Saccharomyces cerevisiae S288C: one gene and its partners. The gene in region 3 interacts genetically with the main gene of each other region. Each region holds a gene or a part of one and is shown on either strand. Other genes may lie near its edges.

Region 1 (2,787 bases), on a different chromosome or scaffold from region 3:
TGCTATGCCAAGTGCTGCTTCTGCTTACTTCACATCTGGAGCAGGTTCTCCTATGGGAACCGGAATCGCCACCCAACAAAGTTGTGATGCTAAGGACGATGACGACGAAGAAGACGACGACACCTCCTCTTCATCCTCTTCTTCCTCTTCATCTTCATCTTCCGCTTCTTCATCTTCTGAATCATCATCCTCGACTTCAAAGGCATCTTCCTCCTCCCCTTCTGCTAGCGAAACGAGCTTGCTAAAATCTGCCGCATCTGCTACTTCGTCCAGCCAATCGTCCTCGAAATCAAAGGGTGCTGCCGGAATTATTGAGATTCCTTTGATATTCCGTGCTTTGGCAGAACTTTATAACTTGGTTTTATGAGTTTTCACCCCCGTTCTTTACCACATTGTTTCTAATTATTCCGTTAGCGCCGCTTACTTTTAATGTTCTTAAGATAAAAAAACATCATTAATATTATTATTAAAAAATTCATATATATACCTATATCTATATGCACTATTTATGCTTCCACTTTTCTTTTCTTTCTAAATACATCATTCCAAGACGTTTTTGTCCATCTTATGTAATGCATCCTTGATGCTTTGCAATTCTACTTTCTGTCCACGAACGTGCAATCCAGATGCAATGTTCTCTAACGCTGATGAGATCGAAGTTGAATCCTCAGGATTTAGTTGTTCTTGGATACTTTTATTTTTTTGCATATGTTGACGGATTTTTTGATATGTGTAACTGATCGGCAGATACCTCTTTGCATCGGAAGCCGCATTCATTTGTGCATTCTTGCAGGAACATATTTCGGGTAGCTTGATTGAATTGTAATTTACGTCAGTTTGTTGTTCATTTAGATCCGGTGACAACGCACTGTTGGAAGAGAAAGAGCTTGAACTACATTTATTCGAAAGTGATTGACAAAAATTCCTACTATGGGGGTCTGATCTACATTGCTTGCAGCTTCCAGGTATCCATGACCCATCCTCTTTAGTGATCGGTCTATTCTCGCTATCGTAGATTTCTTTGTCTCCACAGCATTTCGATATTGATTTCTTAGCATCGGATTCTATTTTCTTTTCTGAACAGCAAACGGGGACTAAGGATGGCATTATGTTATTCTTTTGGTTGCAACATGTTACTGGTTTCATGGCATCTTTATTCCTACAACATTTTATTTTTTTGTTGCCACTGCCTGCACATGCATTGATACTGCTGCTGCATGAAGACAGAGGTGAATTAATATGGCCATCAAGCGATGAATTCGTTGAACTAAACTGTCTGCCGCTCAGATATTGATAATCGTTGGCTATATCAATCTCAGACAAAGACTGGTCTGTTAATACCGCGGGCACATGAGATGTTAACAATGGGCCTTCAGCTTTCCTTTTTTTAAACTGACAGCGCCGATTGGTTTAAAGTTTTCTACCATTTCTAATATCGAAATAGGATTGTCTGGCGGGTTTTCTGGCTGCTGTTGAAATGGAGTATTAACAATCAAAGGCAAGGCTTTTTGCAATTCGTTGTTTAATGCTATTGATTTTTGCAAGTTTTCCTTTGTATCGGAAAACTCAGATTCCAGCAGTTTATATTTCCTTTGCCAATCATCGACCAAATTGTGTAGCATCTCAACCTTCTCTTCCAGAACCTGGATTCTTGTTGTTCTGCGTTCCCTATATGCTCTTTGCGCATCTCTATTTTGCCTCCTTCGCTTTTCCACGCTATCGACACCGTTTTCATCACCACTTCCGTTGCCTTCATCATCAGATTTCCCCTCATGACCTTTTGCGCCTTCGTTCTCATGATCTTTTGTGGTCATTTGGTCTTTCTGGTTGGAAGTTTGAACCTTCTTTATCTTGGACGATCCATCATTATTAGCTGATGCATCCCCGCGCTTGGATTTCGGTTTGCGGCCCGGTTTTAGGCGCTGTGGTAACTCCCAATTCTTGGATAACTTAATAGCTGACGGTCCTGATGTACTCACATTTCCATCTGGTGAGGATGGAGGTGGAGACGTCGTAGACATGGAACCCTGTTTATGCCCCAATTTGAAGCCTTTGGGCTTTACGCTAACTGCTACTACAGACCTTCGTTGTCTCATGATCCATTGAAAGTGTGCGTAAATGACAAAATTTTGTGCCTTTCTATATTCTTTAATTGATGATTTACTTCCTTGATAACGGCTCAACAAACGAAGAGCAATTTTCAAATTTCAAAAGAAAAAACCGTTGAAACTGTTCTTGAGCAACTTTCAAGCCTCTTATGATGATGTGCTACAGATTGAAGTACAGGTGAAAAGAGGAATAACCAATAGCCTTGTTTGCTTTCTACGGTGGGGCAGCGGATTTTCTCTTTTATGCTTATGCTTCTTCTTCCATATATTACTAATTTTTCTCGAGCGAGCAGCTTTACTGCGTGCATTACCGATGAAAAAAATCGCCGATATATGAAAATCCAGCTCATAAGATGCTGATTAAGGAGTCATGAGTGAAAGGACCCTCGTGGCCATCACAAAAAAGACACTTTGCTCCTGTATAAAAAAAAAAATAAGGCGGTAGTTTAGATAGGGTGTCTATTATATACATGCATAATAATTTAGTTTTGAAGGGTCGCTGGTTTTGCCGTGACGTACGCTTCTCTTTGATCTTTTGCCATTGTTGTCAGAGAAAAGAGAACCGATTGACTTTTTTTTTTTAGTTTTTTTTAGTTTTTTTCTTAGGCTTTGATCTAATATCAATCTTTCTTAATGACAAAAGTCTTCGCAGCTTGATCGGCCGGAATGGGAGGTACAG
Region 2 (3,433 bases), on a different chromosome or scaffold from region 3:
GCAGAATTAAATAGCAGCCAGCCAAACCACAGTATGGATGTGCCTAGAGTGACCAATGAAACATTATGAGGCCTGAAATTTATCAGTAACTTTTCATTTCTTTTGCCCAAAAACCAAGAGTAAACAAACCCGGAAACAGCGCTTAATATTTCAATGTTGCCGCCGCCTGCCCAATCGAGGACTCCCCATTGGTATGCCCAACCACCTGGTGACCAAATCCAATACGTCACTGGACAATATCCAATGGTAGCTAGAATAAAGAGAAAAACCATGTGCGGTAGCAGCCTGCCTCTTTCGGCAGTGGCGCCAGCGATAATACTTAAGTTGACGCACGAAAACATCATTTGGAAGGTTGCATACGCGAGCTCAGGGTAGGCATCTTCATCGAATTTTTTTCCGTACACGTTTCTAAAGCCAAACGAATCTAGATTCCCAATGAATTTATTATTCGGAGCGGACTTTGAAAAAGCTAGAGAGTAACCCCAGAAATACCATTGCAGTATACCGACCAAAGTCGCCATTAATACAACCCAGATTAGTGCTAGTGCAGACTTCCTTCTTGCCAATCCGGAGTACAAGAATCCCAATCCGGGCACCATAAAAAATACTAGGGCGGCACCTAATATCATGAAGGCCACAGTGGGGCCATCGTAGGTTTCAGTCGTTAAAGGCCCTGTAGTTCGACTCTCCATAGTTTCTACAGTATAAGAATCCGTACTGCAGTTATGTTTACTAAAATAATTCTCTGATCATAAGCCTAAACAAGTTACAAGAGCGCCTATATAAATAAACTACCTTTTAAGTATCTTATTCTGGAACTGCATTATCGACTGGTAAGCAGAAGGTGCTATAGAAGCCTACACCACTTTTCCGATTTTTTTTTTTTTTTTTTTTCAGGAAAAACATCTTCCATCAATACTTTGTCATTTCTTTCTTCTTCTCTTCTGTGCTTACATAGCCATAAGATGTCACACAAGGGTGTCTGTAGCAATTGTGAATCTTATCGTTATCGCAATCTCTGAGATGTCTCATCCAATAAGAGGGGCGCGTGTCCGCAGAGATAAGCAACCAGGGCCTTTTCTTTTGCACTCAGCCTGACAAAGGGAGGGGAGGCGCAAAACAAAGTTCGTGGCAAAGGACAACCGTAGAAGAGCATCGCCATGTTGATTTTGAAGAATGTCAAGACACAAGTACAAGTTATGGATGTGCATCGCAAAGGGAAAAAGGGGAGTGGGGGAAAGAAATACGTTTGTCCCTAAGTGCTCTTATGCTCCCTTTTGTGCTTCAGAGGTTCTTGATCAATTATTAAGAGGGGATAACTCTATCGTATATAACTTTTATCTTAAAAATGGTTCAGGTAGTGTTTATATAGGCTCAGTCTTTCTTATCTGAAAAAAAACAGTACGGGATTTTTTGTGCGCTCGAATAGTGCCGAACTCAATTACGGGCTGTGGTAACACTTGAGATCTTGTCTTCCCTTACAAATAGCTCTAGGGGTGTTGCATGTAGCCGCAGTAACATCTTGAAGAAGTGTACACTTTTGAGGGGACGCCATTGTGTTACGTTCTATGTATTGAATAGTATAGTTTTCAATTTTCCTGCGCTGACGTAAACCGGCTGTAAGAAAAAACGTATAATCGAGAACTGGTTATTCAAAGGTTGAACTTTAAAGTGAAAAGTAGCTCTAACAAAATAAATCATGCGTGAGAATGCAATGTCTACAAAGAAACTTCCCTATAAATTATCTGGCAGCAGCAAAATAACAACTTCCATACCTAATGATTTAATCATACTGCGAAATAATTGCATAAATTCACTGAACAGTTCCTCGTCCAAAGCTGACAGCATTACATGTATAGATACGTGGCTAAAATACACAGAGGGTTTGTTAACCCACAGGTACGAAGCTAATAATGACGCCGCTCTCATTGAAGAGGAGATAGCGATTGCGTTAATCAATGTTGCCGTATTTTATCAAGACATCGGTATTGAAACATTGTACAGAGCTTATGAATCTTCACAAGCGTCAAATAACTTATGGACAACAAGCGGGACCTATCTAAAGAGAGGTCTAGGCTTAATCTGCTTTCTTGGAAAGAATTTTCAAATAAACACAGCTAATGATTGCCAAAAGATGCAGGTTCTCAACGTCCTTAATCAGCTATCATTAGAGTTTCAATTGCTGCAACAACTAGGGATTGTCGTTTTAGCACTGTCTAAACTAAGATCAAAAATCAGCAAGGATGCTGTTGCGGACCTTGAGCCTCAAGAATTGGAAGAGCTAGGCAAGTCCAGTGTCTTTTACGCTAAGCTTTGTATTGGATCTTATAGCACTGCTTCGCAATGCCAAGGAGGCCGTATAGTGGACGCATTATTTATGAATTATTTACAGAGTTTGACCTATCTCTTCCTATCAATCAACCAATACAACAATGATGAGTGCGGAATTGCCATTGGGATGCTCCAAGAATCGATCAAAAAACTGTTAAATATAGTACCCAATTCGCAACTAAAAGAGTTGGACATTTTATCCTCAACCGATATTACAAAGAAGAGGGATCTTATAAAGATGTCGTTTAAAAGGAAAATACATGGGTCTACTTTAAAAAACCAACGGATATTTGAGAAGAAGGTGCCATTTTCATCCAAAGCGTACATGATGCCGTTATTGAAATCTTCATTAGACGATTTTGTTATCCCACTAACGATACTGTTAAGGTACAGATACCAGACAACCAATGAGAATTATTCCTTCAAAACGGTTGAAACCGACGTTTCTAAATTGAAGGAGCTTTTCCCCAGGGGAAAATCGTCAGATATTGAAGGCACTGTATGGAGTTTCCAAGATGGACATCTTACATTTGCAGACTCAAATAATGCAACCCACAATTGCGGTAATTATTTTTGAATTGAATCAAACGCCGTTCGAACGTAGAGGTCAATAGTCTATATGAATAATATTTTTAAGGTCTACTCTACTATGAATTTTGCATAAAAATATACACATGTTAGAATAAGGAAACCACTATCTACTAATCACGGCTAACCACTGCAAACAATGGCATTATTTACTAATATAATTATGTGTGTTGGAGTGAGAATCAATTATAGTCTACCGATCTGGTGCTCTTGTCAGCAGTATATTATTTTTGAGAAGAACTTTCCTTTTTTTTTTATGTATACGTAATGATCAGAATTTTTTAATAAAGATGTACTTCAAAAGCTTTTTTTAATATTCATAGTAGAATTTAGTGAATAATTTGATAATTGTTGGGCTTCCATTGTTGGTAAAGGCTATTATATTAGTTTTGGAATAAAAATTCAACTATCGTCTATCAACTAGTAGTCATACTACCAGTATATTATCATATACGGTGTTAGATGGTGACATAGGTTATGAGAAGCTGTCATCGAAGTTAGAGGAAGCTGAAGT
Region 3 (3,004 bases):
ATAACAAATAAAGATAACAAAGTTTGACTACTCTTTCGTTGCAAAGTACGGTTCGACAATATTTATTATTCAATTTCTTCAATCTTGGAACCCTTCTTCGCATTTTCATTCTTGCCGTTTTCTTCGCCGTCGTTATCATCGTTATCATCAGCATCATTAGGTTCTGTTTCTCCTGCAGCCGCATTGCTTAAAGATGCCAACATATCTGATAAAGAAGCACCATGGAAATAAGAAGTGTTGCCGTCACTGTCGGAGCTGGGCCTCTGCCTTATTTGAATCCCGGCTTCTAATAGAGCCTCCAACGAAAACAAGTCAATAGGGCCAGTTCTATCCTCACCTGATAACTTTGAGGGAGTAGCACTGCTGCCTAATTCGGTATCAAGATCATCAATTTCCATGTCGTCATTATCTTTACTACGATTCAAGCGGTCTTGTAATTTTTTGGTGGTTATTGCGAACACTTCGTTATCATCATCCGAAAAATCATGGAAATCAAAAATACTTTTCCTTCTTTGGACAAAAGACGTTTGGATATTGTAATTTTTTGATCTCATACGCTCAAACCATTGTGACTCAGATTCATTTTCCTTTAGTAAAGCAACAATGGAAATACTCATATTATCACAGCCAATTCCTGAGCCTTCAGTTGTGGGTGAACAACAAACATCTACGATTCTAGATGAAATGTCGCTCAACGTCATATTACCTTGACTTATACCGTAGTGAACCAAGTCAACACACTCTTGAGAAGTTAAACAATCCCAAATACCATCACATGCTAAAATAACAAATTCATCCTCATCATAATTCAAATTGTGACAAATGATATCAGGAACACATGTAACGACTTGCTCATGAGGTCCCAATTTTGTGTTAGATTTGAATTCAAAATCACCTATGGCTCTTGATAACGCTAAATTTCCATTAACACGGTCCATCTCAACAAAACCATCAGCAGCTACAATACGAGATTTTTCACTTAACAATGTGGGCTTATGATCAAATGACATTGCTTTACTATTACCACCAGTAGATAGAACTGTTCTACTATCACCGGAATTGGCGCAAATTAGTAGCTTTTTCAATTGAGATACCAATATCACAGTTGCTGTACAACCACTATGGTCATCTTTTAATTTTTCATCTTTCAACAACTCAACATCTGTAGCTAAAAAGGTATCTATTAAGCACTGCTCTAACATACCGCTCTTGAAGCTCTCCTGTTTTTTCAGTATAGATATCATTTTAGAGCCACAAAACTCCGCTACAGAAGAACCACCATGACCGTCAAATATACCATAAAATGCGAGATGTTCCTCGTCAGACTCAGCCAAAAGGTTCGGCTCAACAATATGGGCATCTTCCATGGACATACGCCAGCCTTGCATGGCACATAGTCCAAACGCTGTCAAACAGTCCGTACCAGAATGATGCTCTTTGTCGATAATTGGATTGGACAATATTTGACCCATGTTATCTCTCTCTTTCTTCGATTTGTCTTCTTGGCCTTCTTCGTCTGCCTATAATAGAAACTTCAAAAAGTAAAATGAATATAGTCTAAAAACAGAAAGGGGCCTTCCGGTGGCAACAATCGAGCCAACAAGCTCTAAACACCTTTTACTCCTTTGAGTTTATTCTCTTGAGGGACAACCCATGTTGTTTTTTCTTCAACTCGCTGATATCACGCCTGACGAAAATAATGTTTAAAGGTTATTACTACTCTTCTAGAAGCTCTTAAGCATAAGAGCTAATTGTTTCTTGCTATATTACTTGTTGACAGCGGAGTAACATGATAACGTCTTTTTAATGGAAAAGATGACAGTTTCTTCGAATTACACCATAGCTTTATGGGCTACTTTCACCGCAATCTCCTTTGCCGTGGGTTACCAGTTGGGTACGTCGAACGCATCATCAACTAAGAAATCCTCAGCTACTTTACTGCGTTCTAAAGAAATGAAGGAAGGAAAGCTACACAATGACACTGATGAGGAGGAAAGTGAAAGCGAAGATGAGAGCGATGAGGACGAAGATATTGAGTCCACTTCATTGAATGATATACCTGGAGAAGTTAGGATGGCATTGGTGATTCGTCAAGATCTTGGCATGACAAAGGGCAAAATAGCGGCACAATGCTGTCACGCAGCATTGTCATGTTTTAGACATATTGCTACAAACCCCGCGCGTGCTTCATACAACCCAATTATGACACAAAGATGGCTAAATGCTGGACAGGCTAAAATAACGTTGAAATGTCCAGATAAGTTTACAATGGACGAGTTGTATGCGAAGGCTATATCACTTGGGGTGAATGCAGCAGTTATTCATGATGCTGGTAGAACACAGATTGCTGCGGGAAGTGCCACCGTATTGGGTTTAGGACCTGCTCCAAAAGCAGTATTGGATCAAATAACAGGTGATTTGAAATTGTATTGAGGTACAAATGATATATACTACGGGTATAGATATACGTGCATTTATATATTAAGTTGAAGTCTTTTCCCGTTTCTGTTTTTGTATATTTATGCTCATGCCCATCTTTGCACGACAACGGAGTTCAGCAGATCAGCGTCCTTCAATGTTGTCTCATCGTTGCTTATTGGTTTGATAGGAAAGGCATAATTCAAGGTGAAATTCCTCGATGGGTCAGTGTTCGCATTTGATGTCACATGCTCATACAAAAACTTTACTGTATCTGTGGAATTGCAGTGCAAAACTTCTCTTTTGCCATTTGCGTATCTAATTTGGATGGAGGTGTCGCCTTGTTTTGGCTCATTGTCCGGCATGGGTTGTTCCTGAGCAGCGGGTGTCTCATTCTTTGGAACCTCCGCAGGTGACGATTCACCCGGGATAGGAGATCCTAGTCTTTGGCCCTGGCCTGAAAAACCGCCCAGTTTTCTCGTCGGAGCTTTATAAGACTCATCTAATTTTTTATATACATTAACTTCAACTTCTTGTCCAAATTGCACATCTAAGAGCTTTAATGGAGCCCTCCCTTGATTTAACT
Region 4 (3,669 bases), on a different chromosome or scaffold from region 3:
ACAGAGAAAGTTTTGTCAAGTTTACCCAAAGATATGCACCCTATGACCCAACTTGCAATTGGTTTAGCATCAATGAACAAAGGATCCCTCTTTGCTACAAACTACCAAAAGGGCCTCATAGGAAAGATGGAATTTTGGAAAGATACTCTTGAAGATTCGCTAAATTTAATTGCTTCACTCCCGCTGCTGACTGGGAGAATTTATTCGAACATTACAAATGAGGGACACCCATTAGGTCAATATAGTGAGGAGGTGGATTGGTGTACAAACATATGTTCCCTGCTCGGCATGACAAATGGAACGAACTCTTCTAATACATGCAACCTTACTTCCCAGCAATCCCTGGACTTCATAAACTTGATGCGGTTATATACCGGTATACATGTAGACCATGAAGGTGGTAATGTTTCTGCTCACACCACCCACTTGGTTGGAAGTGCGTTGAGTGACCCGTATCTCAGCTATTCATCTGGAATAATGGGATTAGCGGGTCCTTTGCATGGGTTAGCAGCACAAGAAGTAGTAAGGTTTCTCATAGAGATGAACTCTAATATTTCCAGCATTGCACGAGAACAAGAAATCAAAGATTATCTTTGGAAAATTTTGAATTCAAACCGTGTGATCCCCGGTTATGGGCACGCAGTTTTGCGTAAACCGGATCCTCGATTTACAGCAATGCTTGAATTTGCGCAAAAGAGGCCTATTGAATTTGAGAACGACAAGAACGTTTTGTTGATGCAAAAATTGGCAGAAATAGCGCCTAAGGTTTTGTTGGAACACGGAAAGAGTAAGAATCCATTTCCCAATGTTGACTCTGCATCGGGGATTTTGTTTTATCATTATGGAATCAGGGAATTATTATTCTTTACCGTCATTTTTGGGTGTTCAAGGGCCATGGGACCCTTGACACAACTTGTTTGGGATCGCATTCTAGGTTTACCAATTGAAAGGCCCAAGAGTTTGAACTTGGAGGGTCTGGAAGCACTTACCAAAGCAAGCAATGTTAACAAGTTGTAACGCAGTTCCAATTTACAAGAATGCTTCGTTTGCTATTACAATATTGAAATATAAATAAAATTCCATACAGCATGTCTAATCATAGCTAATTTATACATATTCATCATGAAAACATATAGGGGAAAATATGGTCGGTTAACACACCTATCAAAAAATTATTCAGCAATTCCAATCTCGTTAGTAAAATATATTCTTATTTTTTTTTTTTTTCTCTGATTGTATTATTTCTGGAGTTTTGACTTATTTTTTTACCACATCGCGCTTTTCGTCCCCAATCTCTCTGATATATGATGCTGTCTATAGGTAGCCACTTCCCCGATGTCGGACCTCGGGCCGTTTACAAACTTTATTGAGATGACCTTATTTCTCCACATTCTAGTCATTCAACTTTTACCCTCATATGTTTACCTTCACTAATGTGAAAGCATGACCAAAGAAAGTGTATAAGGTATATAAATCTGCCATAATGTATGTATAACTTATTAGGACTTTCTCAAATAGTATTTTGGTATTTTCTACTGTTCTCTGATGATCGAGAGCAAACAGAATGTTTTTAGCCAAAAATCTAAAAAATAATAAAATCAAGGTATGCTTGCCTAAAAAGAAATTTGCTGCGCTGAGTACAGCGTCTATACAAACTAATGAAAGACCAAATCCAGATAAGGTTTTGAAGGACATCGCGAAATATGTCCATGAAACCCCATTAAAATCATCTTTGGCTCTAGATACAGCACGACTCTGTTTCCTTGATACTCTAGGCTGTGGCTTGGCGGCTTTGAAATTTAAGCAGGCTCAAAATATTATTAAACCAATTGTGCCAGGAACAATAGTTCCCAGTGGAACAAAAATATTGGGCACATCTTACGTTATGGATCCAGTGAAGGGAGCTTTTGCCATTGGTACTCTAATACGTTGGTTAGATTACAATGACTGCTGGTTAGCTGCCGAGTGGGGGCACCCATCAGATAACCTTGGGGGAATTTTAGCTGTCGCGGATCACTTGTCCAGATTAAACAAGGCTACCCACGGAAAGAATGGAAAACAGTTTCTTGTTAAAGACGTATTAGAGGCAATGATTAAAGCGCATGAAATCCAAGGTATTATAGCGCTCGAAAATTCTTTCAATAAAGTAGGTTTAGATCATGTGGTACTCGTGAAAGTAGCAACGGCTGGTGTTGTCTCGAAGATGCTGGGCCTGAGCCAGGAACAAACTATTGAAGCATTGTCACAAGCATTTGTAGACGGTCAATCACTGCGTACTTACCGTCATGCCCCAAATACTGGATCTAGAAAGTCGTGGGCGGCGGGAGATGCAGTTTCGAGGGCTGTAAACTTGGCTTATTTAGTCAAAAATGCTAATGTTGGCACGATACCTTCAGTATTAACAGCTAGAACCTGGGGATTTTATGACGTTTTATTTAAGGGTAAACCTTTTTCATTCCAACAAAGATCAAAATATGATTCCTACGTCATGGAAAACGTTCTGTTCAAGATATCATTTCCTGCCGAATTCCATGCGCAAACTGCTGTAGAAGCTGCTGTAAAAGCATATAGGATTCTTGCCAAACAAGGGAAAACTTTTAAAGATATTAAATCGATCAGAATTAGAACTCAAGAGGCGGCAATGAGGATTATAGATAAATCCGGTCCTCTGTATAATTATGCCGATAGGGATCATTGTATCCAGTACATGATCGCGGTTCCGCTGATTACTGGTAATCTCACAGCTACTGATTATTCGGATGAGGTCGCAAGAAATCCTGAGATCGATAACTTGAGATCGAAAATGTACTGTATCGAAGATACTCATCTCACTCAAAACTATCACGATCCTGATAAAAGGTCGATAGGAAACGCTCTTCTCATAGAGCTGAACGATGGGACGCAGTTGGATGAAATTTTTGTAGAGTACCCTGTTGGTCACAAATTTAGACGAGAGGAAGGAATACCATTACTAATGAATAAATTTCAAAGGCATCTGCGCGAACATTTTGTAGAGAGCCCTGATAAAGTCGACCTTATAATGAAGGTAAGTTCAAAAACAAACTTTTTGAATATGCAAATCGACAAATACATGGATTTGTTTACTGAGGGATGAATGGTTGGCTCTTTAAGAGCGAACGGCATGGTACCTACTTCAATTTTTAAAGACAAAAGGCGCCGTTTCGATAAACAAGAAATCACTTTCAAAACATAATTAAACCAAAGAACATGCGGTTTTCTAATTATGCTGGCTTAATTTTACTGGTATTTATCTACATAATAATAACTATTAAAAAATTAAATAATTGGCTCTATTTATTTTTCTTTCTTCAACTTGCAAGAGTTCGTCAATTCATGGAAAAATACAAAAATAGAAATGCGAATTCTGTGGATCGAACACAGGACCTCCAGATAACTTGACCGAAGTTTTTTCTTCAGTCTGGCGCTCTCCCAACTGAGCTAAATCCGCTCAATTTCTATGCTCTAACCACCTTAGCTAAAAACTCAATACAGGATTAGTTGATAAATGGGTGTTATCAACTCAATCCACAGTGTTGGAATCAGAGTCAGTTATCATCTTTGGGCTAGTATTATTGTAAGTGTTGGAATAAAAATTCTAAAATATCATCCATTTAGTAGTGTTCATATTACTAATATATCTGTTGGAAT

The links.
Region 1: mutations in PTH2 (region 3) and YOL029C together harm fitness more than expected from each alone (negative genetic interaction), as found in Saccharomyces cerevisiae (one large-scale study listed by BioGRID).
Region 2: mutations in PTH2 (region 3) and YGR122W together harm fitness more than expected from each alone (negative genetic interaction), as found in Saccharomyces cerevisiae (one large-scale study listed by BioGRID).
Region 4: mutations in PTH2 (region 3) and PDH1 together harm fitness more than expected from each alone (negative genetic interaction), as found in Saccharomyces cerevisiae (one large-scale study listed by BioGRID).

The regions. Positions count from the first base shown.
Region 1 is NC_001147.6:269,275-272,061, forward strand, and holds YOL029C (uncharacterized protein), read right to left. Parts: upstream 1,147-2,787; coding exon 541-1,146; downstream 1-540. Other genes in the region: GAS5 (1,3-beta-glucanosyltransferase), read left to right, coding at 1-367; YAP7 (Yap7p), read right to left, coding at 1,359-2,096; ribosome-binding protein MDM38, read right to left, coding at 2,729-2,787.
Region 2 is NC_001139.9:732,236-735,668, forward strand, and holds YGR122W (uncharacterized protein), read left to right. Parts: upstream 1-1,699; coding exon 1,700-2,908; downstream 2,909-3,433. Other genes in the region: ammonium permease MEP1, read right to left, coding at 1-692; YGR121W-A (uncharacterized protein), read left to right, coding at 1,177-1,392.
Region 3 is NC_001134.8:112,230-115,233, reverse strand, and holds PTH2 (aminoacyl-tRNA hydrolase), read left to right. Parts: upstream 1-1,806; coding exon 1,807-2,433; downstream 2,434-3,004. Other genes in the region: type 2C protein phosphatase PTC3, read right to left, coding at 66-1,472; protein phosphatase regulator SHP1, read right to left, coding at 2,526-3,004. UniProt on the Saccharomyces cerevisiae protein: The natural substrate for this enzyme may be peptidyl-tRNAs which drop off the ribosome during protein synthesis.
Region 4 is NC_001148.4:556,821-560,489, forward strand, and holds PDH1 (putative 2-methylcitrate dehydratase), read left to right. Parts: upstream 1-1,564; coding exon 1,565-3,115; downstream 3,116-3,669. Other genes in the region: citrate (Si)-synthase CIT3, read left to right, coding at 1-1,017. UniProt on the Saccharomyces cerevisiae protein: Catalyzes the stereospecific dehydration of (2S,3S)-2-methylcitrate (2-MC) to yield the cis isomer of 2-methyl-aconitate.